Linked DNA regions of Arabidopsis thaliana. The protein of the gene in region 1 interacts with the protein of each later gene in a biochemical or structural test. Each region holds a gene or a part of one and is shown on either strand. Other genes may lie near its edges. The genes, in order: NPH3, PHOT1 and PKS1.

Evidence for each region.
Region 2: the proteins of NPH3 (region 1) and PHOT1 form a complex in vitro, tested with the Arabidopsis thaliana proteins (one study listed by BioGRID).
Region 3: the proteins of NPH3 (region 1) and PKS1 form a complex in vitro, tested with the Arabidopsis thaliana proteins (one study listed by BioGRID).

Annotation. Positions count from the first base shown.
Region 1 is NC_003076.8:25,722,571-25,732,667, reverse strand, and holds NPH3 (Phototropic-responsive NPH3 family protein), read right to left. Parts: upstream 5,543-10,097; 5' UTR 5,101-5,542; coding exon 4,964-5,100; intron 4,866-4,963; coding exon 4,796-4,865; exon of another isoform or gene 4,744-4,795; coding exon of another isoform or gene 4,714-4,743; coding exon 4,105-4,713; intron 4,019-4,104; coding exon 3,173-4,018; intron 3,093-3,172; coding exon 2,814-3,092; coding exon of another isoform or gene 2,763-2,813; intron 2,743-2,762; coding exon 2,443-2,742; 3' UTR 2,310-2,442; downstream 1-2,309. Other genes in the region: transcription factor SAC51, read left to right, coding at 732-1,778; AT5G64320 (Pentatricopeptide repeat (PPR) superfamily protein), read left to right, coding at 7,229-9,421. UniProt on the Arabidopsis thaliana protein: May act as a substrate-specific adapter of an E3 ubiquitin-protein ligase complex (CUL3-RBX1-BTB) which mediates the ubiquitination and subsequent proteasomal degradation of target proteins.
Region 2 is NC_003074.8:16,811,732-16,824,425, reverse strand, and holds PHOT1 (phototropin 1), read right to left. Parts: upstream 7,706-12,694; 5' UTR 7,511-7,705; intron 6,080-7,510; exon of another isoform or gene 5,883-6,079; 5' UTR 5,870-5,882; coding exon 5,169-5,869; intron 4,630-5,168; coding exon 4,447-4,629; intron 4,174-4,446; coding exon 4,082-4,173; intron 3,987-4,081; coding exon 3,719-3,986; intron 3,624-3,718; coding exon 3,401-3,623; intron 3,304-3,400; coding exon 3,233-3,303; intron 3,145-3,232; coding exon 3,038-3,144; intron 2,955-3,037; coding exon 2,905-2,954; intron 2,782-2,904; coding exon 2,677-2,781; intron 2,594-2,676; coding exon 2,534-2,593; intron 2,438-2,533; coding exon 2,271-2,437; intron 2,178-2,270; coding exon 2,093-2,177; intron 2,007-2,092; coding exon 1,926-2,006; intron 1,822-1,925; coding exon 1,718-1,821; intron 1,635-1,717; coding exon 1,585-1,634; intron 1,485-1,584; coding exon 1,378-1,484; intron 1,281-1,377; coding exon 1,152-1,280; intron 1,065-1,151; coding exon 900-1,064; and 6 more. UniProt on the Arabidopsis thaliana protein: Protein kinase that acts as a blue light (BL) photoreceptor in a signal-transduction pathway for photo-induced movements.
Region 3 is NC_003071.7:851,569-861,218, reverse strand, and holds PKS1 (phytochrome kinase substrate 1), read left to right. Parts: upstream 1-4,493; 5' UTR 4,494-4,750; coding exon 4,751-6,070; 3' UTR 6,071-7,142; downstream 7,143-9,650. Other genes in the region: MEE12 (maternal effect embryo arrest 12), read right to left, coding at 85-953, 1,039-1,627; GSTF3 (glutathione S-transferase F3), read left to right, coding at 9,113-9,262, 9,383-9,650. UniProt on the Arabidopsis thaliana protein: May be responsible for light-regulated cytoplasmic sequestration of phytochromes or may be a negative regulator of phytochrome B signaling. Component of the network that modulates the very low-fluence response (VLFR) branch of phyA signaling.

The DNA.
Region 1 (10,097 bases):
CCTTCAAGAGTCAAATCCTTTTCTTTCTTATTCATCTTCCCTTCTTTTTCGGTATATTATAAACACTTTTGAAAATGGGATCACAACATTTCTATGTGTACCATTGTGAACAAAGAATCAGCTAGACTAAAAGCTCACTCTCCTTCCACAAACAAAACTTTCCTCCTTTTGGTTTTGGTATCTGTCTACTTTCTTCAATCAAGATTTCCTCAAAGTTATGGTGTGCCAATCACCTGGTAAGACAAGATTTCGAGGATTGAAGTACGAGACCGGAAACGCTAACGAATCAACAATTGTAGTGAGAGTTATTGAATGCTATCAACCGATGGATAATTGCCAGGTTTGTACCAGACAATAATGCTCTTGTTATCATACTTTTAGCTTATATAGTTCTAGTCTTCTAACACTGTGGTTTTGTGATTATTCTTTGTGTTTCAGGCTGAGTACTTCAGACTTCTACTCAAACCAGTCACGTAGTTGGTTGGTGACATTTCGCTGCATTTTTCAATCTGTGATTGTTTTTCGTTCGTCTTTCTTTTACTATTTTCTCGAAAAGGACACAAGAAGTATTGCATTCACTCAGTTGAGCAACTTAACAATCGGTATGCTCTTTTCCCTCTAATTACGCTTGTGATATTACTGACTTTATCTTTCTTGAGCTGATTTTTGCCTCTGTTTTGTCCTGCAGTGTTGTACTTTTTGAAGTTCCCTTGAGCTAAACTGCTAAGAGCATGCCTCTGGATAAGAGGCAACGGGATTTGCCTCTGGGCTTAAGTCCTCAAGCTTGCTTCAAGGATATAGTAGGTCGGTCTGTCCTTCCTAGAATTCCTCTCCCTGAGCTTGGGAAACTATATGCAGCTAAGCTTCAGGCTCGCTGTTTGCAGCCACCACCATTCCAGTCTTTGCTGTGCAGTCATGATAAGGAGTCTTATGGAAAAAGATTCTCACGGTCTGACATGCGGTCTTGGTGCGCTGCTGCTACTACTACTACTACTCCACTTGGAGCATTAGAGTCTTCTCAGAAAAGACTTTTGATATTCGATCAGTCAGGAGACCAGACTCGTCTATTACAATGTCCATTTCCTCTACGGTTTCCATCTCATGCGGCTGCAGAACCAGTGAAACTCTCTGAGTTACAAGGTATAGAGAAAGCTTTCAAAGAAGATGGTGAAGAGTTTCACAAGAGTGATGGAACAGAGTCAGAAATGCATGAAGACACTGAGGAGATCAATGCATTGCTATATTCAGATGATGATTATGATGATGATTGCGAGAGTGATGATGAAGTAATGAGCACTGGTCACTCTCCTTATCCAAATGAAGGAGTTTGCAACAAAAGGGAATTAGAAGAAATCGATGGTCCTTGTAAAAGGCAGAAACTACTGGATAAGGTCAACAACATCAGCGACTTATCATCACTTGTGGGCACTGAGAGCTCCACACAACTCAATGGATCTTCCTTTCTTAAGGACAAAAAGCTCCCTGAATCAAAAACCATATCGACCAAAGAGGACACTGGTTCTGGTCTGAGCAACGAGCAGTCGAAGAAAGACAAGATCCGCACAGCTCTGAAAATACTCGAGAGCGTAGTCCCTGGTGCAAAAGGAAACGAAGCGCTCTTACTTCTGGACGAAGCAATTGATTACCTAAAGTTGCTGAAACGAGACTTAATCTCCACAGAGGTTAAGAACCAAAGCTCCACCACTCACAAGTCACCAATCTTGTTGCTTAAAGAGACAACATGGGGAACAAGAAATCTGCAGACAGATAAGGCGTGAAAGATTCTGACGAGTTAAAACGTGTGAAGTGGGTTTTTGGGTACGTATCCTCTGCACCAGCTTTTTAGCTGTATATAGTGGACTACTTTTAAGTATTATATATGCTACTGCAAATTTCAAAAAGTTAAAGAAGAAAAGAGGTCACTTTCTTCTTCTCTCTGTGTGGAATGAAAAGCCAAAGTCGTCATGGTCATTGATGGACAATGATTATCTTTTTTGGCTGAGTGTGGATGGTGAAATCAAAAGGCAAATATTCAAAGTCTCATCTCAAGCTCGCGTGATCTATGAATCTCCCCTAAGGTAATAAAATATCTCTGACCCACACACACTCTTTTGTCCATATGATGACTAGATGGGTCCATGATTTTTATGAAATATTGATGTCATGTTCATGTAATTAATTTGAGTGTCTGTAATAATGCAAACTATTCCTTTGTCTTTTGCTTCAACCCACATGCTACTGGTATTGTTGTGTCTCTATTGTTGTATTGTTAAATGGTTTTGTAATAAACAAATGGCGTTTTTTGGTTTGTGATAAAAATCGAATCGTTTATGTCACTTATTCCATATTAGAAACCAATAAACATTACAAATTAGGAACAAACAAAAGCTTTTTCTTTTCAAAGAATCAAAATCAAGAAGATACAAAACCATCACTATCACTTCATGAAATTGAGTTCCTCCATCGTCTTGGTTTCCTGGGGGGTGGATGATCAACACCAGCTTGTTCTCCTCCAGAGGATATGTCATGGCTCTCCTGTCCACTCATCTTAGTCAGTTTACTTAGCTTCTTCCAACCGCTGGTCCAAGCCGAAGAAGATGGCGTGTTCTTCACTTTCCCCGTCTTCTCAAACTGTCGTTGCATCACTTCCATCTCGTTCTGAAGCTCGACGTACTTGGTCTTCACCGTCTCTAACTCGAACTTCAACGTGTTAATATCCTTCTTGGCTGCAGCCCATCCTTCCTGCATTCAAAGTAGAGGAATTAGAAAAAAGGAATTTGTGTGAATTTTGATGAGTGTTTTCTCTTACTTGCCTGAAACGATTGTGGTGTTGCTTCGATCAATGTCTTGCGATTTGGGATCATAGGCTGATACGTACCCATGGCTTCTCCTAAAGTGGTTGACTCCTTGAGTGATGTGTTGGCTAAAGCATTGCTGATCTTGACTTGCTCCGAGAAGAGAACTTGAACCACCACTCTCAATGGCAACCTCTCGTTCTGAGCCGCGTGCATACATGCGTCCATTGATAGTTTTTGACAATCCATCACTCGGCATAGCCGTTTCCTCTCATGCTCCGATAATGTCGGATGCGCCTATCACAACAAAATTAAGCCAAAAAAATGTTGAAAACTATTCTACGAATTTACCAAAAAGACCTTCAATATATATATACCTTGAGATATGAATCAATGGCTCTGTATAGTCCATCGTCACAAGTCCTAGCAGATTCCGGTAACGCCTCAGCCAAAACCTGAAACTTTGTCAACGGCAAATTCCGATCTCTAGCAACTTCGGTGAGATAACTATCCACAAGCCTCGCCACTCTCATTTTCGCATTCTGATTATTACCACCACCACCACCACCATTGTTGTTATTCCCTCTCGGGATATCGGCGTACATAGACTGCGACGGCGACGGCGACATTCGACTCGGACTCGATCCTTCCGTCTGTTCTTGCACAAGAAAATGTTCCAACAATCTCTGAACAAGATCAACATCGTACATTGTCTCTCCTTTATTGTTATAACCAGGAATCAAAAGATCTTGAAGCGTCGCTTGTTCGAATTGCATCCCTACGCGTTTCTCGAGCTCCGTGATCAACGCCGGAGCTACTTTGAGCATGTTTGCTGCTCTAAGAAGACGGAGGAGGAAGCTACAAGTGACGGAATCTTTCTGTGGAGGGATTATGCTGATTAAAGATTCGACGATCATTCGTTGGTCTTTTGGACTGATTCCTAGTCCGGCGAGACAAGCGACGGAATCTTGATGTCCGTTTGTTTTTCCGGCGGAGAGAACCATATGAAGACCGCCTTTCCAATCTGGTCCGGAGCTTCCTCCGCTGCTGTTGCTTCCGCAGCTTATACTCATTTCGTCTCCTCCTAAACCTAATCCTCCTCCAATGGCGGAGGACATTGCTGGAGCTATTGCAACTCCTCCTTCTTTGATCAAACCCGGAAGCCATTTTCCGGCGTAATGCATTATTACAGCTCCGAGTAGTTCAAATCTCATACCTTTCACCTGTTTCAATGGATAGAGGATTGAGATATGTACACCAAGTGTTTGTGAAAATGCTTGAGAGAAAAATAACCTATGTGTAGTAGTACCTTGATTGCAGTGATTACACGAACGAAATGATCGATTCTTAAGATGGAGACATCTTCGAACCACCAATCTGGAGGAACAGGCTGGCTATTAGTGTTCCTACTCGGACTACAATAGAAACTTGAATCTTTTGATTCGTTCCATCTCGGACTAGAACCCGCGAAATTTGTTGTTGATGGAGATGGAGCTTTCCCTGTGTAAGCCCATCTAATACCTTTTGGATTACTACAAGCTTTCCAAGCGATAGATTCACTACACCTTCTCACAATCTGAAGATTCTCAGCCCAAGGTGAGAGCTTTTCACAGCTCTTCAGGACCAAGATGGAGTCTCTCCATGAAGACAGAACCACATAGCTGAGAAAAGCTTCTGTCTTGAAGATTAGATTCCCTTCCTCAAGATCCTCTGTCATCTCAAGATACTCAGCTGCACAACGTAATCCTGATATGTTAGTTGCCGTGAGATCCACGGGAACTCCATAGCAGAATTTGGATGCAAGCTCAAACGCTTCTGGTCCTCCAGGTAGATCATCAAGAATAAGGATCGTCGGGTCAGGATCTCGTGACTCATAGATCAATCTGTTCATCTTCCCGCTACGTGACAGCAACGGATACTGAAAGGAAAGAAACACTTTTAAATCCATAAACTTTCTCTAGTTCCAGCTTAAAAATATTGACTCAAGAATATGAAGTTACCTTGTGAAGGTGAAAGTTCATGTCGCCGATCTTAACCAGAAGATCGCTGGGGATATCCGTAGCAACAAACCTAATCATAGGCAAAGGTTTTTGATATGAGTATTAACTTCCTTAACAAGGAAACATGTTCTTTTTGCAGAGACTGTAGAGAAAGTGTGAGGATATTACCAAGATTGGCCTCTAAGCTCAAACCCATCAGTCTTGACGCCGCCATGCTTGTTAGAACTCAAAACTCCATCACCATACTCTCTTCCTCCTCCACCTCCAACTCCAACCCCACCGTCGCTCTCAGATTCCCACATCATACACAAGTTAACACTCTCTGTAGTTGGAAGCAAGAAAGGACCAAGGGAAGATATATAGAGGATGAGAAGATCAAAGTGAAACAAAGAGTTTCCAAGAGAAGAGAGATTGATTAGTTTTGATTATAAAGATGAAAGAGAGAGTGGCAAAGAGAGAGAGAAGAGAGAGGGAGATATTATCCCCACATGGGATGCTTCGAGAATTGGAGCTTTCTCTGAATTGTCTATTTTCTCAGAGAGATTTTCAAAACCAAAGTCTCTCATATATCTAACAGCCTGTGATGTAATGGGCTTAAAACTCTCTGCTTCTTCAATTATCATAATTTTTTTGAAATTTAGTGATATAAATTTTGCCCATTCTTATCATATAATTCAATCTGTCTTTTTTAGATTTTACATTAAACATTATTAGTTTACTGACATTGTAGTATGTTTTTTAGTGAAGATATGAGTTGGTTAAGTAGAGAAAAAAATAAAATATATATATAAGATTTGGGGAGGGACAAGTTGGAGAGTGAGTGTCATTAACTATGACAAAGCCTCGTTCCTTCTTCTTTGCCTGTCTGTTTTTTGATAAAATGTTGAATCATCTCTATGTACATTGCATTTAACTTTCTTTTGGTATCTTTGCTTTCTTTTCCTCTTTGAGGCTTCTCTTATATGGGTCCATTTCCCTAACTTCTCTTCTCAATCTTGCATATCTTTTCTCTTACTTTCTTTCATATTATTCCTCTTTCTTTCCCCCAATTCATAAATGTTTCCAATGTGATTAGTTCTATACCAATTATAGAAACCTTGAGTTACTGTTACATCTAAATGAGTTCTCTATAAATACTGAAATGTGAAAGTGATTACTTTCAAAAGCACTAACCACCTACGGGTTACAAAAAGTAGATTAAAGTCATACTATCAATTTTGAGAAGTTATGACATTAGATATTATTTCAAGAGATAAACATATGATGTTGTAGAAATTGTATTCACAATAGTTTTCAATGGTTGTTGGTTGATGACAAAGATAATAGAAGGAAAAGTTAGAGGAAATTTAAAAGAGAGCATTAAAAACAAAGGTTGTTCATACATACATAAATGGAGATCGAGATAGAAGAAGTGGTCCATAAGAATGTCAGCTATGTACATTAATACACACGATGGTTATATATGTATTAGTCGTAATCTTCTCTTTGCTACTATATATAGACCATGCATTTCTCCAAGTAACTTTTGATTAGAATGGTAATTTCCTACGACAACAACAAAAAATAGGTTATGGAATTCTCCAAGTAACTTAGGATTCTATGCAAAGTATTTGCAGAACCAGCTTGTATTCATGTGTTAAATCTAACTAGTGTTACTACAAGAAAACCATCAAACGTTTACGATGAAAATATTAAATTGTGAATTCATATGGTACAACAATATTAGTCACTTTCAATTTTAATTTTTTTCAGTAATTAGATTAGAATGATAACACTTTTTTGTACAACTAATCCTCTTTAGTTATGTTTTCATGTTATAAAGTGTTTCAATCACATAGTAGATAGTACTATAGAAACATTTCCATATGATAAAATGATTGATGGTCATATTCAATAACCAATCCAATCACCACGTTAAAACTCTTACCCCCACATATACAATGCCATAATAATTATATAATGGCCACATCTTGATTGGATTGTTGTTACAAGGGGTTAAAACACTTGAGATCAATATCTTTTTTCTTTTAAATACACAAAGTAATAATCATGTGATCTTTTTATGGCTTACATTATTGATGATGGTCGTGGTAATACAAATGCCACGTCGCCTTCATATGTTAAAAGCTAATATAAAATTGTCGGTTCAAATCAGACAGGATATACTCATCCGACGGCTGAAGGAAAACGTTATAATAAATCTAACGGCCAGGATCAACTCAAGGTTACTTCTCTTGTTTTTGTTTGGGCTCAGAAGGGGCCCAAAATAAAAACAAAGAAAACAGGGCCCAAAATAAAAAGAATAAAACATATTCGAGCCCTCTAACTTATAAGGTTTCAGAGACCAGAAGGGTAAATTGGTAATTACCGATGTTCTAAAGTTCTTCTCGCTCGTAGGAACCAGAGAGATTCTGTCTGATTAATGTGGGGTTTATGGTTATGCTAGCGAGATCAAAGCTAGCTCTAGATGTGAGCAGAAGATCACAGTCTTTGCAAAGAATCTGCTACTACGCAAGTCTCTCCTCTAGATTTTCCGGCGGCGGCGGAGATGATGGCGGCGGCAGCTCACCGGAAATCGGTGGTACCGATTCAGCAAACGAATGGGAGAAGCTCCTTAAACCATTCGATCTGGATTCTCTAAGGAATTCATTTCACAAGATAACTCCCTTTCAGCTCTATAAGCTACTTGAGTTACCTCTCAATGTATCCACTTCAATGGAGTTGTTCTCATGGACCGGTTCTCAAAACGGTTATCGTCACTCCTTCGATGTGTATCAAGTTCTTATAGGTAAGCTTGGTGCGAATGGTGAGTTTAAAACCATTGATAGATTGTTAATTCAGATGAAAGATGAAGGAATCGTTTTTAAAGAATCTCTTTTCATTTCGATTATGAGAGATTACGACAAAGCTGGTTTTCCTGGACAGACAACGAGATTGATGTTGGAGATGAGGAATGTCTATTCCTGTGAACCCACTTTTAAATCTTACAATGTTGTCTTGGAGATTTTGGTTTCTGGTAATTGTCATAAAGTTGCAGCTAATGTGTTCTACGATATGCTTAGCCGAAAGATTCCTCCAACGCTTTTCACATTTGGTGTTGTGATGAAAGCTTTTTGTGCTGTTAATGAGATAGATTCGGCTCTGTCTCTGCTTAGGGACATGACGAAACATGGATGTGTCCCAAACTCTGTTATTTACCAGACTCTTATACATTCGTTATCGAAGTGTAATAGAGTGAACGAAGCGCTTCAGCTTTTAGAGGAGATGTTTCTGATGGGATGTGTTCCTGATGCTGAGACTTTCAACGATGTTATCCTTGGTCTCTGTAAGTTTGATCGGATTAACGAAGCTGCTAAAATGGTGAACCGGATGCTGATTAGAGGGTTTGCTCCTGATGATATAACTTATGGTTATTTGATGAATGGTCTATGTAAGATAGGCCGGGTTGATGCTGCAAAAGATCTTTTTTACAGAATTCCGAAGCCGGAAATTGTGATCTTCAATACTCTTATTCACGGGTTTGTGACTCACGGAAGACTTGATGATGCTAAAGCTGTTTTATCAGATATGGTCACGTCTTATGGCATTGTTCCTGATGTCTGCACATATAACTCACTGATCTATGGATATTGGAAGGAGGGTCTTGTAGGTTTAGCTCTGGAAGTTCTTCATGACATGAGGAATAAGGGATGTAAGCCTAACGTCTACTCTTATACTATTTTAGTTGATGGTTTCTGTAAATTAGGAAAGATAGATGAAGCCTACAATGTTCTTAATGAAATGTCTGCCGATGGACTGAAACCCAACACTGTTGGTTTTAACTGTTTGATATCGGCTTTCTGCAAGGAACACAGAATCCCCGAGGCCGTAGAGATTTTCAGAGAGATGCCGAGAAAAGGCTGTAAACCCGATGTGTATACATTTAATTCGCTGATATCTGGACTATGTGAGGTCGACGAAATAAAGCATGCCTTGTGGTTACTTAGAGATATGATATCAGAAGGTGTTGTTGCTAATACTGTTACTTACAACACGCTGATCAACGCGTTTCTTAGAAGAGGTGAAATCAAAGAAGCTCGTAAACTAGTAAACGAGATGGTTTTCCAGGGATCCCCGCTTGATGAGATAACCTACAACAGTCTGATAAAAGGGCTGTGCAGGGCCGGGGAGGTAGATAAGGCGAGAAGCTTGTTTGAAAAGATGTTAAGAGACGGGCATGCACCAAGCAACATCTCCTGCAACATACTTATAAACGGGCTCTGCAGAAGCGGGATGGTGGAAGAAGCGGTTGAGTTTCAGAAAGAGATGGTTCTGAGAGGATCGACACCGGACATTGTGACATTTAACAGTCTGATAAACGGTCTGTGTAGGGCCGGTAGGATCGAAGATGGTTTGACGATGTTTAGGAAGCTTCAGGCTGAAGGAATACCGCCTGATACGGTGACGTTTAACACTTTGATGAGTTGGTTGTGCAAAGGAGGTTTTGTTTATGATGCTTGCTTACTTCTGGATGAAGGTATTGAAGATGGTTTTGTTCCAAATCATAGAACTTGGTCAATTTTGTTACAGAGTATTATTCCCCAAGAAACACTTGATAGACGAAGGTTTTATAATGCAGCTTTTTGAAACTAAATACAAAATTTGTTTGGTTAATGTTACTGTGGTATGTGTATGCTGTCACCCAAATTATGATTTTTTCCCTTATAGTTTCAAGTTCCTCAATTATTCAATTAAACTATCTATTGGGCTACTATTAAGGCCTCAAGGCCCAGTTTTTTTTATGGATATGTCAATTTGATAATAATGCTGTAAATTCTTCATTTGGTCAAAAAAACTTTTTGGTAGAATTCTTCATTTGGTCATTGGGCTAATTTGTTTACTAGTTAGTCTTTTATATGCAAAAAGATTCTGACGATATAATTTAGACATGTTACCATAGTTTTCTTGAAGTAATTTTACACCTTTTTTAATTTGTTAAATTATTAATAACGTGTATGATTTTGTTTCAATTGATTAACAATATTGTTCATGTAGATCATGATTTTGTTTCGCTTTTCCTTAGTCATTGCACTTAATTAGTTTGCTTAATTAGTAAGACAAATATATGCATAATTATTGTGACAATTAATTTAGGCATGCTACATTACTTTTCTTGAGCTAAATTACACGTTTTGTTATTTTAAGTGATTGTACTGCAGATCACGATTATTCAGATTTCAGACCATAATAATTTGAAGTTAATATTTCCATAGAAAGTTATTTAGAAAATCTGATAAATCATATAGATAGATAAATATTGGAT
Region 2 (12,694 bases), on another chromosome or scaffold:
CAAAGTTATAGTTTTCTGAAACACAAACAGAACAAGAACACTTAAAAGATTCAAAGAAACATGGATCTAATCTACTCTATCATAATCATTCTGGTTTGTACCCAATTCAAGCCTTAATTCTGATTTGAACTTTTTTTTTTATGGTTTCCATTGTCTTTTGTAGCCTTCAACTAAATTATGAAAAATATCAATTCTTTGTTTAACTTTACCAATTTAATCACATGAATTCGCATTATAATAACTTGATTAATGAAACAAACAAAAACATATGCAAAACTTGATTAATTTTATTGACATATATAAAAAACATATTCTTAAGAAACTCACACAAATTATTAGAAACACTTGGCATTATAAATAAATAAAGATAATGGTAAAATGAAAATAATTAAAAACGAGATTTTTGGAGAACAAAGAGTTTCAAACAATTCTTGAAAAGAAAACGATAAACGTTTAGTCCAAATCTCAAAAAACATTTGTTTGCAGATCTTCTAGCTCAGGATCAACAACTTTCTCTCCGTTTTCAGCTTCACCAGAAAATATCGGAGTCTCGAGCTCTGGAGGGTTCTGCATATCAAAATAATCTCATAAGATGATTAGTTTTCTTCTTTCACAAGTAAAACCGAAATGTTTCTTATATACCAAGTAAAGAGAATGTGTGAAGTTATACCGTGCATCGAATCAGAGCCCAATTTATGCCTTTGAAGAAAGAATGTTGCTTGACTTCATTTGCTCCTTCAAAACAACCTAGTCTTTTCTTCGGATCTCGTTGTAACAGCCTAAAAATCAGCTGTTTCACTTGAAGACTTGCCTGCAAACCAATAACAGAACAATTAAATATGATCCTCGATTTTTATGCATGAGATTAGTTTATAGAAATATAGTGATTGATCCATTACAGGAATGCTAGCTGGAAACTTGAGATCTTTTTGAAGAACATTGGTGAAAGTCTTCTGTCTTGTTTTTCCTCTAAAAGGAGTGTATCCGTATAACATTTCATACATAAGTATACCAAGAGCCCACCAGTCTACTGCACTCGTATGTCCTGCTCCGGATATAATTTCCTATCCATATGAGACATCAACTACTGGTTAAGACAATGGTAAATACCTTAATCACTGTACTTAAATTGGTATATATAATATACTAACCGGAGCAATGTACTCTTCAGTGCCAACAAATGAGTTTGATGCACGCATTGGTTCAGCCATGAAGATTGGAGTTTGTTGACTCTTTTGTTGCTTTTTCTTCTTCTTCTCGTCTATACTCGGAATCAACAGCTACAAGATTCATTAATCACCCTTAATTAGTATACATGAGCAAACTCTCTAGTAGAAGTGGAAACAATCTGAAGGGAAAGGTTGAGAGAAATCAAACCTGAGGTTTGCAAGATGTCAAGCAAGACAGATCAAAATCCGACAAAGAGATATCGCCATTGCCTTGGATTAAAACGTTTTCCGGTTTCAAGTCTCGGTAAATTATTCCTGAATTTAAGAAAAATTACAAAGATCAACTTAGTATCATGTCAAGATTCCTTGCATCCAAAATTTTCTTTGTAATTAAAGAAGAGGTTGAATGGATTGCCTTGACAGTGAAGATACTCGAGTGCAACGACAACTTGAGCAGCATAGAATCTGAAAGTTCATGCAGGGTTTTTGTTAGTTCAATATTTAAGTGAAGAAATCTTGAGACTTTTTCGAGCGAGGAACACTTGTACCTTACAGCATCTTCTTTGAGAACCTTCCTAGGTTGTCGATCTAGGAGCATGAAGAGTTCTCCTCCTGGATAGTAATCTGTTATAAGACATATATGTGTTTTTGTCTGCAGAATAAAACATGATCCATTAGTAACCAAAGACCAAAGAGACACGCATATATATATATATATATATATATATATATATATGTGTAAACAGAGGTTTTGACCTGAAAAGAAGCGTAGAGTGCAGGAAGAAAAGGATGGTCAAGCAAATCTAGGATCTCTCTCTCAGCTCTAGCTCTATGTACCTGCAAAAAATTATATCAGTGGCTACAAAACTTACAAATAAAAAGCGAAACTCAAGATTCCTTGAAGTGCAAGTTACTGTAATTACTTTGTTTCGGTTAAGCATAACAGCCTTGTCCATTGCTTTCATTGCAAACAACTGATCTGTTCCAACGAGTTCCACTAGATGCACACTGATAAAACACAAATGGGATATTATAAGATTAATGAAGGAAATGTTCTTTTTTTTTGTAAGCTATTTCATTAGATTAGATAGAGTTTCAGACCTTCCTGTGTCACCAGAACCCAAAGGTTTCACCGGTTTGAAATGCTTCAAACCAATCGGTTCACCACTTTCCAACACCTTTTGGATAGCTATCCATGGTGGTGAATCTTTCCTGTGAGGCTTACAATGAACAACCTTTGAGTGGTTTGCCCATAAATCCTCTGGTGTCTTCAGAAACAAGACACAATAAAACATTCTGTCAGATATATTCTAATAAACCTTAATCTAAAATGATCATATTCAGATCCTTAGACAATCACTTACCATGTTGGCATCAGGAAGTTCTCGAACCGCTTCATCGATATTCACAGCTGTTTTTTTCACCTAAAGAATATAGATTAAGGTTTAATACTTGATTTTCTATCAAACGAATACTAAATCAAGATCAATAGTTTAGGATTCCAGACCAGGTCTTCTCCCTCTTTCACTGCGGTTTCTTCAATGACATTGCGAACTGGTTCTACGTGCTTGCTCCCGTCTAGTTGAACTCCAATAAAGTATTGTACTTCTCCCTGTCAACAACATATCAAAGAAAGAATATAGACATCTTCAGTTTTAAATTCATAAACCAAAAGAAATTGAGGATTAGTTTGAAGGTGCCGTATAATGCAAGATATCTATGTAAACCATTATACCTTCTGATCACGCATAGGTTGCAAGTGGAAAATGTTCCAGAACTTCTTTCCTGCCACAGAGAATATAATGTAAATTTAAAACTTTATACAATGATCGACAGATTAATCTAAGAATATCGAAAAAATCGAGTACCGCTCTTGGTGTAGTTGATGAGCTGAACTGTCACTTCGGTTTGGTTATCAATAGCATTTCGAATCTTCTTCACTGTGGTTAGATCAGTCTCTGGACCTTGTAGAAACCTAAAACCATGAAACAAAATTTATAAACACATGCTCTATGCTCAAAAATATTTTCAAAAGACATTTTGAGATCACATTCATGTAATACCTGCAATTTCTTCCAAGAATTTCTTCACGGCTATATTCCGTGAGCTCCAAGAAACTATCAGATGCAAAAATCTAGAAACATAGGACAAAGCAAACAATACGTTTTCAGACCAATCGAAATGAAACATAACAAAAAAAGTTTCCATTTTTCTAAAACATTTGTTCTTACAATGGGATTATCGGGAAGCCTAGGATCAGTGATGACGAAATTCTTCTCGATACGTTCGAGTGTAGTAGCTAGATCAATACCCTTTCTCATTTCCTTTTGTCTCACTTTATCATCCACACTCTCAGGTCTCTCGTCCCTATCACTAATCTCATCGTCTTCTTCTCCATACTCTATAAATCCATCGTCTATAGATTCATCCAAAGATTCGCTCTTCTTCTTGATCCTATCACCAGAGTATCACAACAATCATATCAAAGACTAAATCGATTTTTATAAAGTAATTGTCAGGTAAACAAATGATCTAGTAAGGATTATTACCCCATGAAGGAAAGGGAAGATTTTCTAGATTTTTTCTCGGGAATTTCGTTGATTCGCTGCATCGAGTTTCTTCTTCCGCCGCCAGAGTTTCTTCGGCCTGACGGAACAACATTTTCGGACATTCGCCGAGCTGGTTTTTTCGGAAGTTCATCGCTCTCCGATTTTGTCATGAAGGGATGGAGATTCGTCGATTCGCTTAGTGCCCGAGGTCTCTTCACCGCCTCTACTAGCTCTGTCACTGAGTTTGTCGCCATATCTTTTTGGCGGGCTTTTACAAAACAAAATTTGAAAATATTTTTAAGAAAACATAATAAATGGAAAAAAATTTGGAAAAACAAATAGAAAAAGAAAGTATGTAAATACCATCGTATCGAATCAGAGATTCCGGAAGCCCATTGGGCCTCAAAGCCTTTTCTTTGGCCCCTTCAGTGTGCTTGCTCACCTCCACTTGCATTCTGGTCCAAATAAACAAAACATATTGGTATCTTCTGATTTTTCCTCAAAATCATATTTTTTTATCAGATTCTATAATTCTTTTCTTTTTCCTGATTGATTATTCTCTTTTGTTATTCTACAATAGGATCCGTCGGTGATACAAATCTTTGAATTATTGCGGAGAAAGCAACACAAATCACAGGTCCACACTTAGACCCATTAAAAAGGGTGACATTTTGAATGAAAGAAATAAAGGAGAGAAACGAGTAAATAAAAAGGAATAAGGGACTAACCCGATAAATTTGAGGACTTTGCCACTCTCGTCTTTAATGGGAGCAATCGTGAGAAGATTCCAAAAAGAGGTCCCATCTTTCTTGTAATTCAATATACGCCCACAATAATTGTTACCAGCAGCTAATGTCTCTCTTATCTTTGCTAACTCATCTGCATCTGTACCTGATCCTTGTAAAAATCGGCTACAATAAAACAAAAACCCAAATTATGTTCTTTTCTTCTTTCTTTTTGTAAATAAAATTCATTCATTGAACAAAAAATGGTGGAAACTTTTGTAAGAAATTTTTCGAATTTGCAAAGAAATGTTCGATTTAAAAGAAATATTTTAAGTTATCATTAAAAAATAAACTTAGTTTATAAAAGGCTATTAGTTTGGAAAAACAACATAAAAATTAGGTTTATAAAAAGTTTTTAGAAATTTAGTAAGAGTTACTAAATCATTTAGGATAACCATACCTAAAACTTAATCTTTGTAATTTTGGTACACAGTTTCGAAAAGTTCTAAAAAAATAAAATAAAGTTAGGTTTAATTTTTGAAAATTTAGAAAGAATTACTAAGTCATTTAAGATATCTTTATACATTTATAGTAACCATAAACCTAAAAACAAAACTATGATATTTAATTAGAAAAAACTTTGCAATTTTGGTAATTATTACAGAAAACGAAACGTATTTTATATATTAAAAAAATGCTCTAAAATTTTTTGAATAACTTTTTACCAGTTTCTGCCGACGACTTCTTTGGAAGTGTAACCAGTCATATTGAAGAAACCAGCACTTGCATACATAATCGGATAATCAGGTTTTGTAGCATCTGAGACCACAAACGTTTGTTGAAACGTCGACAACGCATCTTTTAGATCTTCCGATACTCTTGGAATCCCACTCCTCCCGCCGGGAACATCTCCGTCCGACATCTCACCGGAGCTCCGGCAAGAGTTTTGCGAGTTTCTCTGCGATGTAGTCTTTTTCCCGTTAGGATCATTCTCAGTTCCACCAGAGTTCCTCACGCCTACTCCTTGTGGCTTTCCCGTCTTTGTATCGGTCTTCAAAACCAATCCCCACTCTGCCGCTCTCTGCTCAGCCGCCACCGCCGACTTCTGTGGTTTCTCGGCGGTGATCGTCTTCTTGGAGATTGTCTCCGGTGATGGGTCTTTCAGAGCCATCCATGAGGTCGTGACAGCGATTTCTTGATCAGACCGAACAGGGTTGGATGGAGCTGGTTCTTGTTGTGGTCGGGGTTGAGGACTGGTGCCACGTGGATCACTCAAGTTTTGCCACGCTGGTGGTTCAGGACGGAACACCGGGTTATCGGGTCGGGTCAGCTGAGTTGACGGGTTGAATACTTCGAGAGAGCCACGAGTGTCTCTAGGTAGAGTCCGAGAAGATGGTTTGGTCGATGGTTTTTCTGTTGGTTCCATCTTTGAGCTCTCTCTATACACGAAACAAAAATTGTGGCCAGAAAATAAGTTTATATATAATTAGTTTAATGGATAGACATAGATACCACACGCATGTGTGTGTATATGAATCGGCAAATAAAAATATTTATTCTCTTAAAGTTAGATACTATAAATATATGGTATAATATTTTATTGATTTCTAAAAATGGACACATGACCAAGTTCTTTTGTGGTAGATGGATGGTTTGATTACTGAAAATGAAAACACTATACAAATATGTGATATGTGAACTAATTAATAACGGTTAGATATGTCATATGTTTAGTCATAAACAGAATGGGTTTGACCATAAAAAAAGAAGGAGAAATAGAAAGGAAAGTTGATTAAAGTTTGAAATATCAGTACAATATATGGAAATGGTAGTATTACTTATATTTTTTTTTGTCATTTAACTTCTTCAAGTAGTATGGTACATATTGGAGTTAACCTCTTTTCATAAAATTAAAAATAACTAACTTGCATTAAATATTTATTAATAAGAGATTATGTCTACAATTTTATACAAAAAAATATAATATTCTAAACAGACAATGTGGTGGTCCATTTCTACACGGATCGAGAGAAATCCACTCTATATCACTTTGGTGCATTTCTACTAAGGCTGACTGGATATGTCGATATGATTTTACTAGATGCTGACCATAAATAATTCATCAATCACTCATTTTTTTTGAATCTTCAAAAATGTTATCATGAATAACAAGAATCTTGCTCTCTTAGGTGTCTTTCTTTTGGGAAATAATAGACTAGACATATCTAACATGATAATGAATACATGTTTTATATGAATGTATATGCATGCAGGTAACATTATTAAATATGGTTCAAAGAGTTATGGTTTATGGGGCCATAGATGAATGAAGATATGAACTGGAAAATACGCCAATTTTGAGAGTGACAATTCCAAATGAAGCGGGGGTAAAATTGAGAAAACGACACAAAGGTGTAAAGTTTCAATGCTTTTTTGAGTTTTTAGTACCACACAACACATGCATCTTCTAAGGGTGGTTTAGTCATTTTGGTATAAAAATGGACAGTTGTTCTATTACAAAAACAGTAGCTGAACCGATTCTGTTCGATCGATCACAGATTTCAACTAAAAATCTTTGTCTTTTTTTCATGTTCTTGTCATTTTATCAATTTCCACATAAATGAACTTTGTAAAATAGTTTATCACTCTATTTATATGAGAACAAATAAAAAGAGTAAAAAATTTCATGGTAAATAGGAAAATCTATTTTTATTTAAAAAAATTGAAATACATATCTTTATGAATTATGATTGGAGAAATTTTAAATCGAATTCAGTTGAGTTCTTGAAATATGCAACTACCATGTGATGTGTGACTTTCACAAAAAAAAGCTGACATTCAAATAATTTATATATATACTAGTTTCAGATCAAGCTAGTAGCTAGAGTGCTAGACGATATAAAATGATATCTACTTCACTATTTATATTTTTACACATACAAATTAAGGCCGAAAATGTGACAAGAACCCTAAAAAGATGAATAACATACAAATTAAAAAAATGAATCGTCCTAAAAATAGCCTAAGAAAGTGAGCAAGACAGTATAAATCGAAGGGAGAAAACTACCTTGCAAGTTAACTTGTGCTGGAAGAAACAGATTATCCTTCGATTTTTCCTTCACTCTCTAGTCGAGAGATAAACTGAGGAATGAGTTTGGGATGAGAAGTTAACTTTCCCGAGGCTTTTTATACAAATAAGGAAATTTTTTGATAAGAAGAGATTCTAGAAAGATTAAAAAACTATTTAGGTTTCATGATTGATTTAGTTCCGTTCTAGCTCCATCACTGGATTATTTGATCTTCCCATGCTTCGAATGTTTTTGATTCCACATGGCTTCTTTTGTTTACTTTCAAAAGATTGTATAGAAACGTAACACTAGTATCGTTTATCTATCTTCTGTATAACTCTGTCTTGATAATTAGATTATAAACCTGAATATACTCTCTTTGTCAAACAAAACCAGACCAAACATAAATATATATTCTGACTATGCTCAATATTCAATTTCTATGGCACTTATTGGAAACGAATGGTTTATATGACTTAACCAACAATTTTATGATGTTGGTTTGACAGTGATTAATCTAGGTTTTGGTATAGGACAAACAGGATTATAAAAGAGAATATTGCACAAAAAAACTTGCTTGTTGTAACTTGTGCGTATAATTGAAGTAAATGATAAATAAAACATTTGAAGAACACATAAGTGTGTGGAGTGATGGTTGTTCTTTTAAAAGTTTCTGTGTGTGTCAGTGACTATAAGTGGGAGTGAGTTGTCATTTGAAAACGCCAAAACCGTTCCCAAATGCAAATGCAGAGACCCAATATTACATAGATGTTCTCTTTCCACTTTTGTAATGGTAGAAATCTCAGTCTTTATGCATTGCAAGATATTTCATGCAAAAACATTAAAGAAGAACATACACTTTTATCCGATTTAGTGATGAAATCGAACATGGAGATCGGTACAGAAATCACAAACAAATTAAAAAGCAATCACATGTCATTGTTATATGCATTTTTGGTTGATTTATCAAAACTTTCTCTCGCTTTTTTTTTGTCAAAACTTTCTCTCTTTAAAATGGTTTTATTAATTCTGTCTCTATTTTGTTTTCCAAAAATCACTCTAATTATTAATTAGCAGATAACTTCCCTATACATTACGATGCATAAACAAAATATATTGCAAGAATATATAGCAGTTGTTAACCCAATCGATTTGGTATGCTATCAAATCATGGGCACAAATACAACCTTAAACTTTGGATAAAAAAATAAAAATCCAACCTTAAACAACCATGCATTTGATCATTTGCATATTCTAAAAAGCAATGTGTAACTAGTTTAACGGTGTAACAAATATAGACTAGCAATGGCATAGCGCCGATACGTCTCAGATTGAATAACTAAATATTTTTTAATTGCATGTAAATATTGTTAAAAAAAAAAACAGTATCATCATTTGTAAAATTTGGTATTAATATAATGACCCCACTACACTCAAATTCAGTAACATTTTTTTCTCTTAAAAGTTATATTATGATCCCGGTAACAAAAATGGATCTGCCACTACAGACTGGTCATCCCAAGCGATCACGATCACTATCAGGCTTGGTTAAAAATATCAGAACAGTTCAGATTCAAACCCTTTTGTCGGAAACCCTATGGACAAAATTTGTGAAGGGTATAATACAAAGAGGAGAGTATGGTAACATTTCATATACAAGTAGGACCAGAACCCATGTGAAGATTGATCAAAGAGAAAAAAAGATCTTAACGGGTTATAATCTTATCCATCATGTGTCCATTGTGGGTTTGAGTGTGTGGTGGGGGCTGAAAATGTTACATCAATCTTCACATATTGGCCGCTTAACTTCTCCCATTTTCTAAATTGACCCCTTTTTCTTCCCTAGACAAATCAAGATTCAAGATGGGACAATGACACTGGTTAGTTTACATCAATCTTCACATATTGGCCGCTTAAATTCTCCCATTTTCTAAATTAACCCCTAGACAAATCAAGATTCAAGATGGGATAATGACACTGGTTAGTAGTTACTATATGCAAGAATATCTACATTAGGAAAATTTAATATTTTCTAATTACCATTGTTTTTCTATCGTCATATATATTGTTTTGGTAAAATATACGATGTTGGTCTACTGATAGTACAAGTAGGAATGTTTACATTAACACAAATTGTTTTGTTTTCTCTCTCCCTTAAATATCATTGATTCTAAAAAAAAAAGCATTGTTGAGGTAAGTTCATTTACTAAAAAACCCTACCATAAAAAAGTTCATTTACTAAAGGACACAAATAAAAAGGAGATACGTTGAAGCTTTGAAATACTGATGTGGTATTTTACGAGACTTTTCTAATGCTCAAGGTATTATTTTGGACCACATGATCTGGTCGAAAACTAATAAGAATCGGAATACGAAAAATAACTTGCATCACTTATTTATCTTTTATAACTAAGGGGTAACCCATATTTTTACCACCAGACTAATACATCTAAGATAAGTGTAGGTGTTGAGTAGTCCACTCACTTGATTTTCTAATGGATCTAAAGCATGACACAATTTTGATTGTTCAAATATAATGGAGTAATTTAGTAACTTGTATCATGACTCTATAGGAAGAAATTAGAGAAAGAAATCCACGACGAACTTTTAATATCCAATGATTAATCTGAATCGATAAGAGATATATGTATGTTTGTTAAAAATAATAAAGAACCAACTTAGAGTTGACCCAATGATAAATCTCTTAGGTGGAGGTGTTGGATTCGACACAAGTTGGGAGAAATTTCTTATGAATTTAACATTATTTGCGAATGGTTTATGCCGGTTCGGCTTGGTTCACACTTGGTTTATTTTTCTGAGAATATACTCTATTAGATGCTGATAATTGTATAGTTACGGATAGCTTTTAGATCTTCTCAACTGTAGGGATTTTCCTAGATTCACGACGTCTGTTGTATAGTCGATCTATATATGTTGTATGCTTCTCTTGATGATCAATAACACATATACATTGTCGAACTCTGTATTCCTTTATGGTATCAGAGCCTGAAAAGCAAAACTCTTGATTTTTTTTTTCTCGACAATGTCAACTGAAAGCAACACCTCCGCTGCGACTGAAGTAAGGAGAACAATCTCTCCTTATGACCTGACTTCTGCTGATAATCCTGGAGCCGTAATCTCTCATCCTCTCTTGAAGGGAAGCAACTATGAAGAGTGGGCTTGTGGTTTTCGAACCACGTTGATATCACGGAAAAAGTATGGATTTCTCGATGGTTCAATTTCCAAACCAGAAGAGACTTCCCCTGATTTTGAAGACTGGACGACGATTCAAGCTCTTCTTGTGTCATGGATCAAAATGACAATTGAACCAACTCTTCGATCCACCATTTCTCATAGAGATGTGGCTCAAGATCTGTGGGAAACATCTGAAAAAGAGGTTCTCTGTCATGAATGGGTCACGACTACAACAACTGAAATCTGAGCTAGCTTGCTGCAAACAGAGAGGTTTGGCTATTGAATCTTACTTTGGCAAGTTGACTAGGATCTGGGATAACCTCGCCACACATCGTCCGTTGCGTGTTTGTCGTTGTGGTAAGTGTACCTGCAATCTTGGTGCTGCTCAAGAGGCAGATCGGGAGGAAGACAAGACTCATGAATTTCTCAATGGTTTTGATGAGCAGTTTCGGGCGGTCCGATCAACTCTAGTGGCTCGGACTCCCATTCAACCACTTGAAGAGGTGTACAACATCATTCGTCAGGAAGAGGACTTGCGTGTTCCCGTAGAAGAGTCACCGTCAATGACAGCTTTTGCGGTGCAATCCAAACCACGTCTTCCAACTGACGAAAAGGAGAAAAGTTTCTTCTGCAAACTGTGTAATCGATCTGGTCACACTGCAGAGCGGTGCTATGCTGTCATCGGGTATCCAGAGTGGTGGGGTGATAGACCCAAGGGTCGTACTCTACAAGGGAAGGGACGTGGTGGCAGTACGTCTCGTGGTGGCAGGGGACGCGGAGCCTCCCAAGAGGTTGCTAATCGGGTTTATGTGCCGAATGTGGAAAACGTGACAACTGAACAAGCTAATCATGTTCTCACAGACGACGACCGATCTGGAGCTCATGGACTGAATGATACCCAGTGGAAAATGATAAAATCAATTCTCAATGCGGGAAAACAACCTTCAACTGAACAACAAACGAGTATGTCTTCTCTCTCTCCTTGGATTATGGATACAGGGGCGTCACATCATTTAACTGGAAGGTTTGAGACCTTAACAAATGTGCGAGAAATGCCCCCTGTTTTGATCATTATGGCAGACGGTAGAGAGCAAGTTTCTTACAAAGAAGGTTCTATTAGTCTTGGTAGTCATTTGGTAATGAAATCTGTTTACTATGTTGAAGAGTTGAAAACTGATTTGATGTCTTTGGGGCAGTTAATGGATGAAAACAAGTGTGTTGTTCAGTTGGCTGATCGGTTTCTCGTGGTTCAGGACCGCATTTCGAGGATGGTGATTGGGTGTGGTAAAAGAGTGGGTGGTACCTTTCACTTTCGTAGTACAAAGATCGCAGCTTCAGCCGCAACAAAGGAAATCAAGTCATTTGAGTTGTGGCATAATCGGATGGGTCATCCGTCGACGCAAGTGGTGGGAAAGCTTCCGTTTGTTTCTGCTTCTGTTTCTTCTTCTAGTTTGAATAAGCCTTGTGATATTTGTCTTCGTTCAAAACAGACAAGGGATAGTTTTCCATTGAGTATGAATAAAAGTTCAAATTGTTTTGAATTAATACATGTTGATTTATGGGGTCCTTATAGAACTCCATCTCATTCTGGAGCAAGATACTTCTTAACTATTGTTGATGACTACTCCAGAGGAGTGTGGCTGTATTTGTTAACCACTAAAAGTGAAGCTCCAGAGCAGTTGAAAAAGTTTTGTGCTTTAACAGAGAGACAATTCAATACCAAAATAAAGAGGATCCGGAGTGACAACGGGACTGAGTTTCTATGCTTAACTAAGTATTTTCTCACCAATGGTATCATCCATGAAACCTCGTGTGTAGCTACTCCTCAACAGAATGCAAGAGCTGAAAGGAAACATCGCCATATCTTAAATATTGCTAGGGCATTGAGATTTCAAGCGTCTTTACCCATTGAATTTTGGGGTGAATGTGTGTTAACCGCAGCGTATTTGATAAACCGGACTCCTAGTTCAGTTCTCGACTTCGCAACA
Region 3 (9,650 bases), on another chromosome or scaffold:
ATGTAAAAGAGACACTTTATATTGAACCTTTGAAGAACTTAGTTCTTCAGATTATCTTAATAAGAATTTGAAGCAGGTTCTTACCTCGTCTTTTGGATAACCATTCCACAAGTTATCAACAATTCTGTATGTATCGTCAGGTGAATCTTCTTCTAAACCAGCAAAGAACTCGTTTTTCCCGAGCGATAGATATGACACCAGATCCTTCTCGGATTCAAGGGTTTCTGCAGCGACCTCATGATATTTAGCTTCAAGGTTCTTCAGAAGCTCCTGAGTATCGAATTCAGTTGCTTTCTCTGCAGTACCTGAATTTGTCTCTGAATCACCGTCACTAGCATTGACAAACCCCAAACTCCGTTCCCACACACCCAAACCATTTATGTTATAAAGCATCCGAATAGCTACAATCAGAATAGACATGACACACACACGGCTAGGAAGCTTCTGCTCATTCGTCGATAAATATAACTCAGGAGGCAATGACCAGTTCTGTATAAGACGCGCCAGATCAAGAATCTTGTCCTCAGGAATAGATAACTGCTTTATATAGTTTGAAGCTATACCATAGAAATTCACAGGAGGCAAAGGCAAACCAATAGTATCAGCAATCACAGAGGCTCGTGCTTCCAACATCTGAGCAGAAATAACCTGAAAAGGCCTAGCCATTATACTTACTTTCACCGGACACGCAGCTGATCGCTCTCCCATTTGCTCTCTAATATCGAGAAAACAAGACAAATACGGAAGCTTTCCTTCTCGTGCCCATCTCACAATATCCGTGGGTAGAACAGGCGCTCCCGCTTGGTGACAAGCAAGGAAAGATATCACCAAAGAACTCGATAAAGGCATAGTCTTTTTAAGTATACCAAACCATATCGTCACTGCTCTTTTACCATCTATGTTACGCGGCTCAGCTTTGTGTCTTTTAAGCCTCTTAGCATCTTTTACTTCACCTGCAATGCAAGACACCAAAAAGAGTGAAACTTAGTAACAAATAGAATCACACCAAACAAGACAACATTGTCAATAGATTTCTACCATCTTCTGACTGATGCTCGGAATCACGAATGGCGTTATTGGCCCAATCTTTATGGTAGACGCCAGAGAGAGCCACATAACGCAAAGAGATAGGTCCAACCAAACCAATAATCAAAGGAGTGACATTAAACTTGTCAACCAAAGCATCACACTGATAAGTGATCATCATAAGAAAAGCTTTAACATATCTATCTCTTGCTTCATCGTAATAATTCTCATAACTCAAAGTCTCTGCTGCAAAATCCACAGGCTCCGTTGGCTCTTTATCGACATAACTGTCAGGCGCTCTCTTCACTTCCCGGGGCAATTCCTTATTCCCGTTTTCAGATTCAAACTGAGATTTAAACTGAGAGTAACGGCTTGTGTCATCTGTAAAACGAGGCTGTGAAGGAGTGATTGGTTGTGGTTCAGTCCGGCGATGTTTGGGGTTATACAGAGCGCCCTGAGTACCTCCACCTTCACCGATTAAATCGCCGTCGTCGACGCCGGTTTGGATCAGATTTTCAACCTGAACACCGCATCGTTGGCAGTAGTAATATCCGTCGTCTTCTTCGTCAAAGGCGTCGTTTTCGCACTCCGTGCAGATCATCGTAATTGAAGAGACTAGAAAGAAACTTTGGGAGGGATAAATGAAACCCTAAACCCTAAACTTCGTCAGGAGATGATCCCTCAAATCAGATTGATGTAGACGAAGAGGAAGTGAAGGAGGAGGAGAAGCTTTGGCCTTTGGGGGTTTAGCATTTGGCGGCGGAAGAGTTAAATTAGGAGGGGTTTTGATATTTGCAAAAAAGCCCCTAAATTGTTTTATTGTTCTATTTTGTTCTATCTCTAGTCTCTCGACTGGTGAAAAGAGTTAATACCCATTCTGAGTGCATTTGCATACCCAAATAAATTTATAGGGCATTTTTCATACCTAAACCGTATTTTTATATGAATTTTATACTTAAATTTAAGAAAACGTATTTTTTTGCAAAACAAAGGTTCCGAACCCACGACCTCTTTGTCAATATACGGGATGTTAAACCATTTCGTCCAACAAATTTCACTGGTATATGCCAAACATTATCCATAGACAATAATGGGCATAACATGGAATAGATTGTGAGACCAAAAGGGATAACGCGGACATGAAGGTTGAGTTGGTTCACGTTGATTTTGAATGAGTGCTTTTCTTTTAGTTGTTTATGCAATTCACCATCTCTCCGTCTCCCCTAAGTTGTAAGAATCATGATTGATTCCATTTCCATCGTTCATTTGTTTCCATATATTGATCAGAAAATCAAAACAAATAGGTAGTTTAAACTACCATTAAAAAGGGATTTTGTGTGTGTTTGTTGCTTTTGGGACCTATCAGATTGTGTTTCTGGCTGTAGACTTTAGAGACAATTAGTGTGTTTTTCTGCAACTTGAAACGCCCCTATATTGCTAGCATTTGTTTACTGGGAGAGTTGACTCAAACCGAAATTATCAATCCTTAAATCCATAACTTTGAACAATATCAAAAATAGTTAAAGTTAAGTTAATTAGAGTTTTTTAATTGCCGCTTGATTACAACTTTTTGGAACACATTCCGGTTTGCAATCTTCAAAACTCTCGAGATATCTAAGAATTTTGTAAATTATGATTTTATATGCATATGGAAGCCTTTAGGATTACCAATCACCTCAGCTTTTGTAAATTACAATATGATTTTATATAAATATTGTAAAAGAGACATTTAAAAAAAAATCCTATATAATGATAATTAAAAATCAGATAACGGTACTAGAAAGTATACGTAGTACATCATAAATTGGTGATACCGTTTTGGTATATAATCAATTTTTATTAGTTTTGATATTTGTAGTCATGCTTGTGGTTTGTGGTAAATCTCATAATGATCATTTTTGTTTTAGTTGGACGAATAAAGGTTGTGGTTGAGAAACAAACACGTATGCTGTGGGATCAATTCGAACCATTCATACGTGATACGTCGACTATAGCAACTAATAAGCATATTTTATTAACTACATTACACAATATTCTTGATTGACAGATACATAGATTTTATGTTTGAATTAATTAATCTTTCGTTATGTTATATTTAACAAAAACAATACACATTATTTGATATGTATTATATGACAAGATACGATTCCATGAATTTTCTAATATACATTACACATAAATTATAGAGCGTACGTCAAATCATAACATAAAATATTACTATATTTAACAAAACCCAACTCGATGGTCTTTGTCAATATCTCCCCATGCAACAAAATACGTACATCCCTCGTGCTTTCTAAGTTTCTATTTTTGTATTTTTGTTCCTCAAGTGAAATCCATATCCACTACTTTTCTAGTTGAAAAAAGTTAGAAGTTAAAATACAAGTAAATCCAGATTCACTTGTCAGCTCAATCCTAACATGTCTTTGAAAATGTGTGTCCGAAAACTTGTCAGCCCATTATTAAGTATGTGAAACAATACTTTAATTTGAAGTAATTAAGAAAAACAATACATTAAATCTACTTTTTTTCTCATGTAAAACTCTTTGACACCATTGGTAAAATCCAATCATTTATCTTCCGATCTTATTGACGATGTCATTAATTTGTTAATTGTATGATGGTTAATAAGTTTATCCAATGTATGTTTTTGTTTAATTTATTTATCCAATGTATTATTTTATTTTAACATACAATGCTAATCAAAATTTTAGTTTAAGTAATTAAGAGAGTCCTTTAAGAATAATAAAAAAATGTTGGTTTATAACAGAGAGTCCTTTAAGAATAATAAAAAAATGTTGGTTTATAACAGAGAGTCCTCAATGCAAATCAGATTGTTTTAAACCTGCACACAATCCAACAAAATCATCTCTTCTTGCTAAAGCTAATCATCTCAATTATCTCACAAGGTTCAACAATCGTATGAATGTGAAGTATATAGCCATACACCCCCATCTGTAATTAACGTGTCCGAACGGATTGTACATTAGAGCACCTCCAATGTATAGGATTCATATAGTTTCTAAAAAAACAAAAAGTATTAATATTTTATTTTTATATCCAAAAAACAAAAAAAAACAACCTATATGAATAATAGAAACGATCCTCCCAATTTTAGAGATTCTCTCTCATCTCTTTTTTAATTTATAATTTTTTTTTGTAATTGTATGAGTTTCTACTAAAAAACTACGGTTGGAGTTGGTTTTAGTTGCTACAAATATAGTAGCAAATGTGTTTTAAATCGGAATCTTAAAAACGTATAGTAGTGCTAAACGTCTACGTACAAAATACGAATATTGAACGTATAAAAAAAAACACTTTCTGAAATCTGCAGGTTAGAAAATTATTTAAGAGATCCAGTTGCAATGTGAGTAGTATACTAGTACTGTTGTATTAATAAGTCCTAATCGAATTAAGACCATATCATTATAATTCCTTTCTTTTGTGGTCACGGGGGTAACATTATTTTTCGATTATTCTCCATTGATTGGCAAAGATTCATTATCCAAATATATAAATAAATCAGTTCACACACACAACAACTGGCCAATGACTCAAACTGGAACCCACTCACATTGATCAGATCATAACACTTTTAGCTTCAGAAAAAAAAAAAAAAACAGCTATCAAACATATCGTCTTGTTACTCTATTTATACCCTAATTCCACATATCTACACACAAGCAATAAAGAGAGAAAAAAATATAAAGCTACCAAAGAGAAAATGGTGACACTAACACCATCTTCTGCTAGTACCCCAAAAACATCTTTTGATTTCATGAAGAATAACAACAGTCACAGCAGTCTCTATGTTTCTTCTTCTTCTTACTTGAGCAGCAAGGAAGATGCTCTTGTCACGACCAAGAAGCTCATGGAACCAAGCAAAACACTAAACATGAGCATTAATCCAAAACAAGAGGAGTTTGGTGATGAGAAGAAAATGGTGAAGAAAGCTCCTGAAGATCCAGAGATTGGTGTGTTTGGAGCTGAGAAGTACTTCAATGGAGACATGGATTCAGACCAAGGTTCTAGTGTTCTGTCTCTGACAAACCCAGAAGTTGAGAGAACCGTCGTCGACTCGAAGCAGAGCGCGAAGAAATCTACTGGTACTCCGAGTGTCCGGTCTGAATCAAGCTGGAATAGTCAGAGCGTGTTGCTTCAGAACAAACTGGTGAATAGCTGCAACAGTTCCTTCAAGGAAAAGAAGAACAGTAATGGTCAGATTCAAAAGGTGACCAATAATAAGAAGAGTTTTCTCGCAAATTTGGGGTGTAAATGCGCATGCTCTGATGGGGATTCTGTAGATGTCGAGGAGAAAACCTCGGTCAAGAGAAGCGCTGATCCGAATATCTCTGTTATCACAATGAGATCTTCTGCGGATATGAACACAGAACTGATCAAGATTCAGAAGCAAGAGGAGTTATCACAGAGGAAGTCTCTTGAAGTTTTTGGATCTCCAGTGGCTATTGAGAAGAAGAGTAGTGTTGTTCAGAAGAAACTACCATTGCCTCCATGGAAATCGAGAACAGAGGAGGACGACACAAAGAGTGAAGGGAGTGATTCAAGCTCGGATCTTTTCGAGATAGAGGGTCTTACAGGGAACCCTAAACCTTTTCTTACGAGGCAAGGAAGTGATCCAGCTTCACCTACGTGTTATGCGCCAAGTGAAGTAAGCGTAGAGTGGAGCATAGTGACAGCAAGTGCAGCAGATTTCTCTGTTATGTCAGAATGTGCAACAAGTCCTGTAAGAAGAAACCGACCTACTCAGATTCCTCGAATCCCTATTACCGCTAAATCAGCACCGCAGAGACGGAAATCGAGTAGCAGCAGCGGAGGGAATGGTTTCTTGATGAGCTGCAAGAGTCATAAATCTGTTATGGTTTCTGGTGATTTAGACAGAAGAAGCAGCATGAACAAGACACAACCGAGTTACGTTCCTAGATTCCCAATGGAGACTACTAAACCTAAGAGTTTCGAAACACGAAGAAGGATCAGCAACAGCTCGATTTCTCACACACAATCATCTCTTCTTTATAGTCAGTGATTGCAAGAAAGTAAAAGAAAAAGATTTCAATCTCTGATCTCTCTTTATCTATAATTTCTACTGAGTGAGAAAGATATGTAAACTTATAATAATGTCTTGTTGAGTCCATGATCAAATCAATTTAAAAGGGTTTCTTAGAGACCTTTTGCACCTAAGAAAAAGTTACTCAAAGAGTGACAAATGATTGGAGAGTGAAAACAAAACATTATGGTCAGTTAAAAACACAGATCTCAAATTCAGCAAAATAAGCAGAGAGACATTCCAAAAATTGGCTCCACCAAGTTTTACCTTTTTTGGATTTAGTCTCAAGACTCAAGAGAGAGAGATATGAGTTTTGTCTTAGCTTGAAAGGGTTAAATCAAACGTACACTAGATTGACAGAAAGAGCTATTAATGAGGAAACTTAAATCAATGAAAGTGTCATATTACCTAACATATCTAAGATCTGGTCCTGAAACTCATCTAAAGGCCATGTATATGTCTGAAATAAAAGTAAGGTAGACAAAACCTTAATTGCTAGTTGACAATATGAGAGAAAAGAACCAAAGTGCCTTACTAAGACAATAAATGCAAAGAAAGATCAAAGATGTTTGTCTCTGTAGCCTACTCATAAGGGAAATGATCGAATTTACCCCAAATGATCTTATCCAGTTCACTGATATTTCTCTGTAAGATATTTCAAAAAGGGCTAATTAGATTTCAAGAAAAGACATAAATGAAACCAAGATGATGACATCAAAGCTAGTATAGCTAGTATGGGCTTAAAACCAAGAAACATACAGATCTTGAAGATAAGTATTGTACCCTTCTCAAAAGATATGAGAAAATAATTGACCACACTATATATAAAAATCTAATCATCTAACTACTTAGTTTTCATATGTGGATGAGAGAAGAACAACAAAAGCAAGAAGACATTTTGTGTTAAGAAAGCAAAACAAGATTACTCATCTTTGAATTCTTTGGTTGGACATTGCCTCAAAGCATCCGCTTGCTCTCTTTCGTCAAGTGAATAAAGGCAAGTTGGTAATGAGATGAGACTCTGATCCCACATGACAAAAAATGGCTGAGAGAAGTTTCTATTTAATTCCATAGAGTTTGTGGTGAAACATTCACTGTCTTGATGTGAAAGGGGTTCGTTCCTCAGGAGCCCACCAAGAGAAGGAGAAGAGTCTTGTGTGGTCGTTTGCTGCATCTCCATTACTTCATGTTACCAAAAGAATACAAAAAAACCCCAAACATAGGTTCAGGAACAGATGATGATTATAGAAATAACAATCTTATATTATCTGACAACAAAGTGGTAACAGTACATCAAAACTAGGATTCTTGACTGTCTCTAGCTATGTGTCAGTTCCTAATATCTTCCACAGAGAGAAGGAAATAATGATCATATGCCAACATAAAGAAAATCAAATCTTTTTAAAGCACCCCTAAGTGTATCATAACATGAGAAAAATAAACCTTTAAAGGAAAGATCACTCGATTTTCACAAAGATAACAATCACAGTGCTCTGCCTCTGATTACCAAGTAACGTTTAATGTTCAATTGCCCCGAGTGAAACCATTACCAGTTATTTCAAGAAGATCATAAACTCTACACTCTTTTTTGAAGAACCCATTGTTTAGATGTCGTAAGTAGTCCAGTTTCGTCTGAAATCTCTGTCTCTCTAAAGTATCCAATTCAATGAAATCAACAGGAATGTGGCAATGTGCCCATAAATCAACATTCAAAACATCGAAAACAAAGTCTCTTCTTTGGAAAAAAAAAAAAAAAAAAAAAGCCTCTTCTTTGTGTCTCTTTCCTAAACACAAAACGAACAAGCGCCACATAAACATAACAAAAGCAAATCAATTCATCATCTAAAACCGCTCCAAGAGAATCACTAAATTGTGATCAATGACGACGGTCCACGGCGAGATCAAGGAGACGGCGCCGTGTAAAAATTTCACCTTTGAATTTGATTGAGGAGGGACATATTCCACACGTGGCACCTAAAGAGTGGTTAATGATAAGTATCGACGCAAAGTAAGTATTTAACAATGATTAAATAAAAATATGAAACAAAGAACAATATTGGGCTTTCAAATTGGCGGGTTGAGCCAGGCCCATGCAGTAGTGCAACGCATGGGCGACTCGTGAAAGCCCAGATAGCAAGCTATCTTAACGGGCTTTCTCCCTTAAAAAATAGAGTTAATATCGTGTGGGCCGATGGCCCACATATCAGATATTAAACTGATAAGAACAGATACTACACTTGATCTTAGCCAAAAGGCCGAGAAAGGTATGAATGGTTTAGTCCATCAAGCTTCTTTTATATACACCAACTCCAAGAGTGAGCGATTAATTATTTAGCGATGTGGGACAATACCAAAACATTTTCTTAGCCTTCGGACAAAAGAACAATTTGGACATTATTGAATTAGGTTCGGTTATCTTAACCAAATGTTTTAATCTTGATCAGCATAATCCGAATTGATCCGGTCTGAACCAATTCAATAGATCTGACTAAAAAGAATAAACTGCATACCTTTCTAGTTTGGTTAAGATGCGAATTTCACATCAAGAGAAAGCTTTAAAACCGTCATCACAAAAGGGAGAAAGTTACTAGATGAAGCTAGTAGGTGGAAGTTTGAGTCATTTGGCCGTTACTACTACGACTTGTTTAATTTTTTTCTCTGATTCATTGAATGCTTTATTAAAAACTTTATCTCATAACCAGTGTAAAAACAAATATTCAAACGTTAATCAATCCAATTTAGCTTTGAAAAATCCACCAAGAAGAAGACTAGTCAATATTGGTTGCGACGGTCTTGTAGAGGCGTTATTATCTGTTAGATAATATTACTATAAACAGTGAGGGATAAAGCAGAAATGCTTCTGTATAAATACTATCACTACTTTTGATCAAAACAAAAAATACCATCACTATTTTACTTGTGTGTTATTTCATCACCTTCACCTTCAACATCAAACATCACATCTCTTTCTCTTTTATCTCTTTTTCTCGGTCTTCAAAGAGTTTCTTAGTTACCAAATCAATGGCAGGTATCAAAGTTTTCGGACACCCAGCTTCCACTTCCACCAGGAGAGTCCTCATCGCCCTCCATGAGAAAAACCTCGACTTTGAGCTCGTTCATGTTGAACTCAAAGACGGTGAGCACAAGAAGGAGCCTTTCCTCTCCCGCAACGTAAGTATATTTATCTATCTATGTGTTGTTTTGTAAGACAAGAGACCAAACTTTTTTGATGTACGTAACTGATCGGAATCTTAAATGTTTTTTGTGTTTGAACTTCTTTCCTATCTTCAGCCTTTTGGTCAAGTTCCAGCCTTTGAAGATGGAGACCTCAAGCTCTTCGAATCAAGAGCGATTACTCAGTACATAGCTCACCGATACGAAAACCAAGGAACCAACCTTCTCCCAGCTGACTCCAAGAACATAGCTCAGTATGCAATCATGTCCATTGGAATACAAGTAGAAGCTCATCAGTTCGATCCCGTGGCTTCAAAGCTTGCTTGGGAACAAGTATTCAAGTTCAACTATGGCTTGAACACAGACCAAGCCGTTGTTGCAGAAG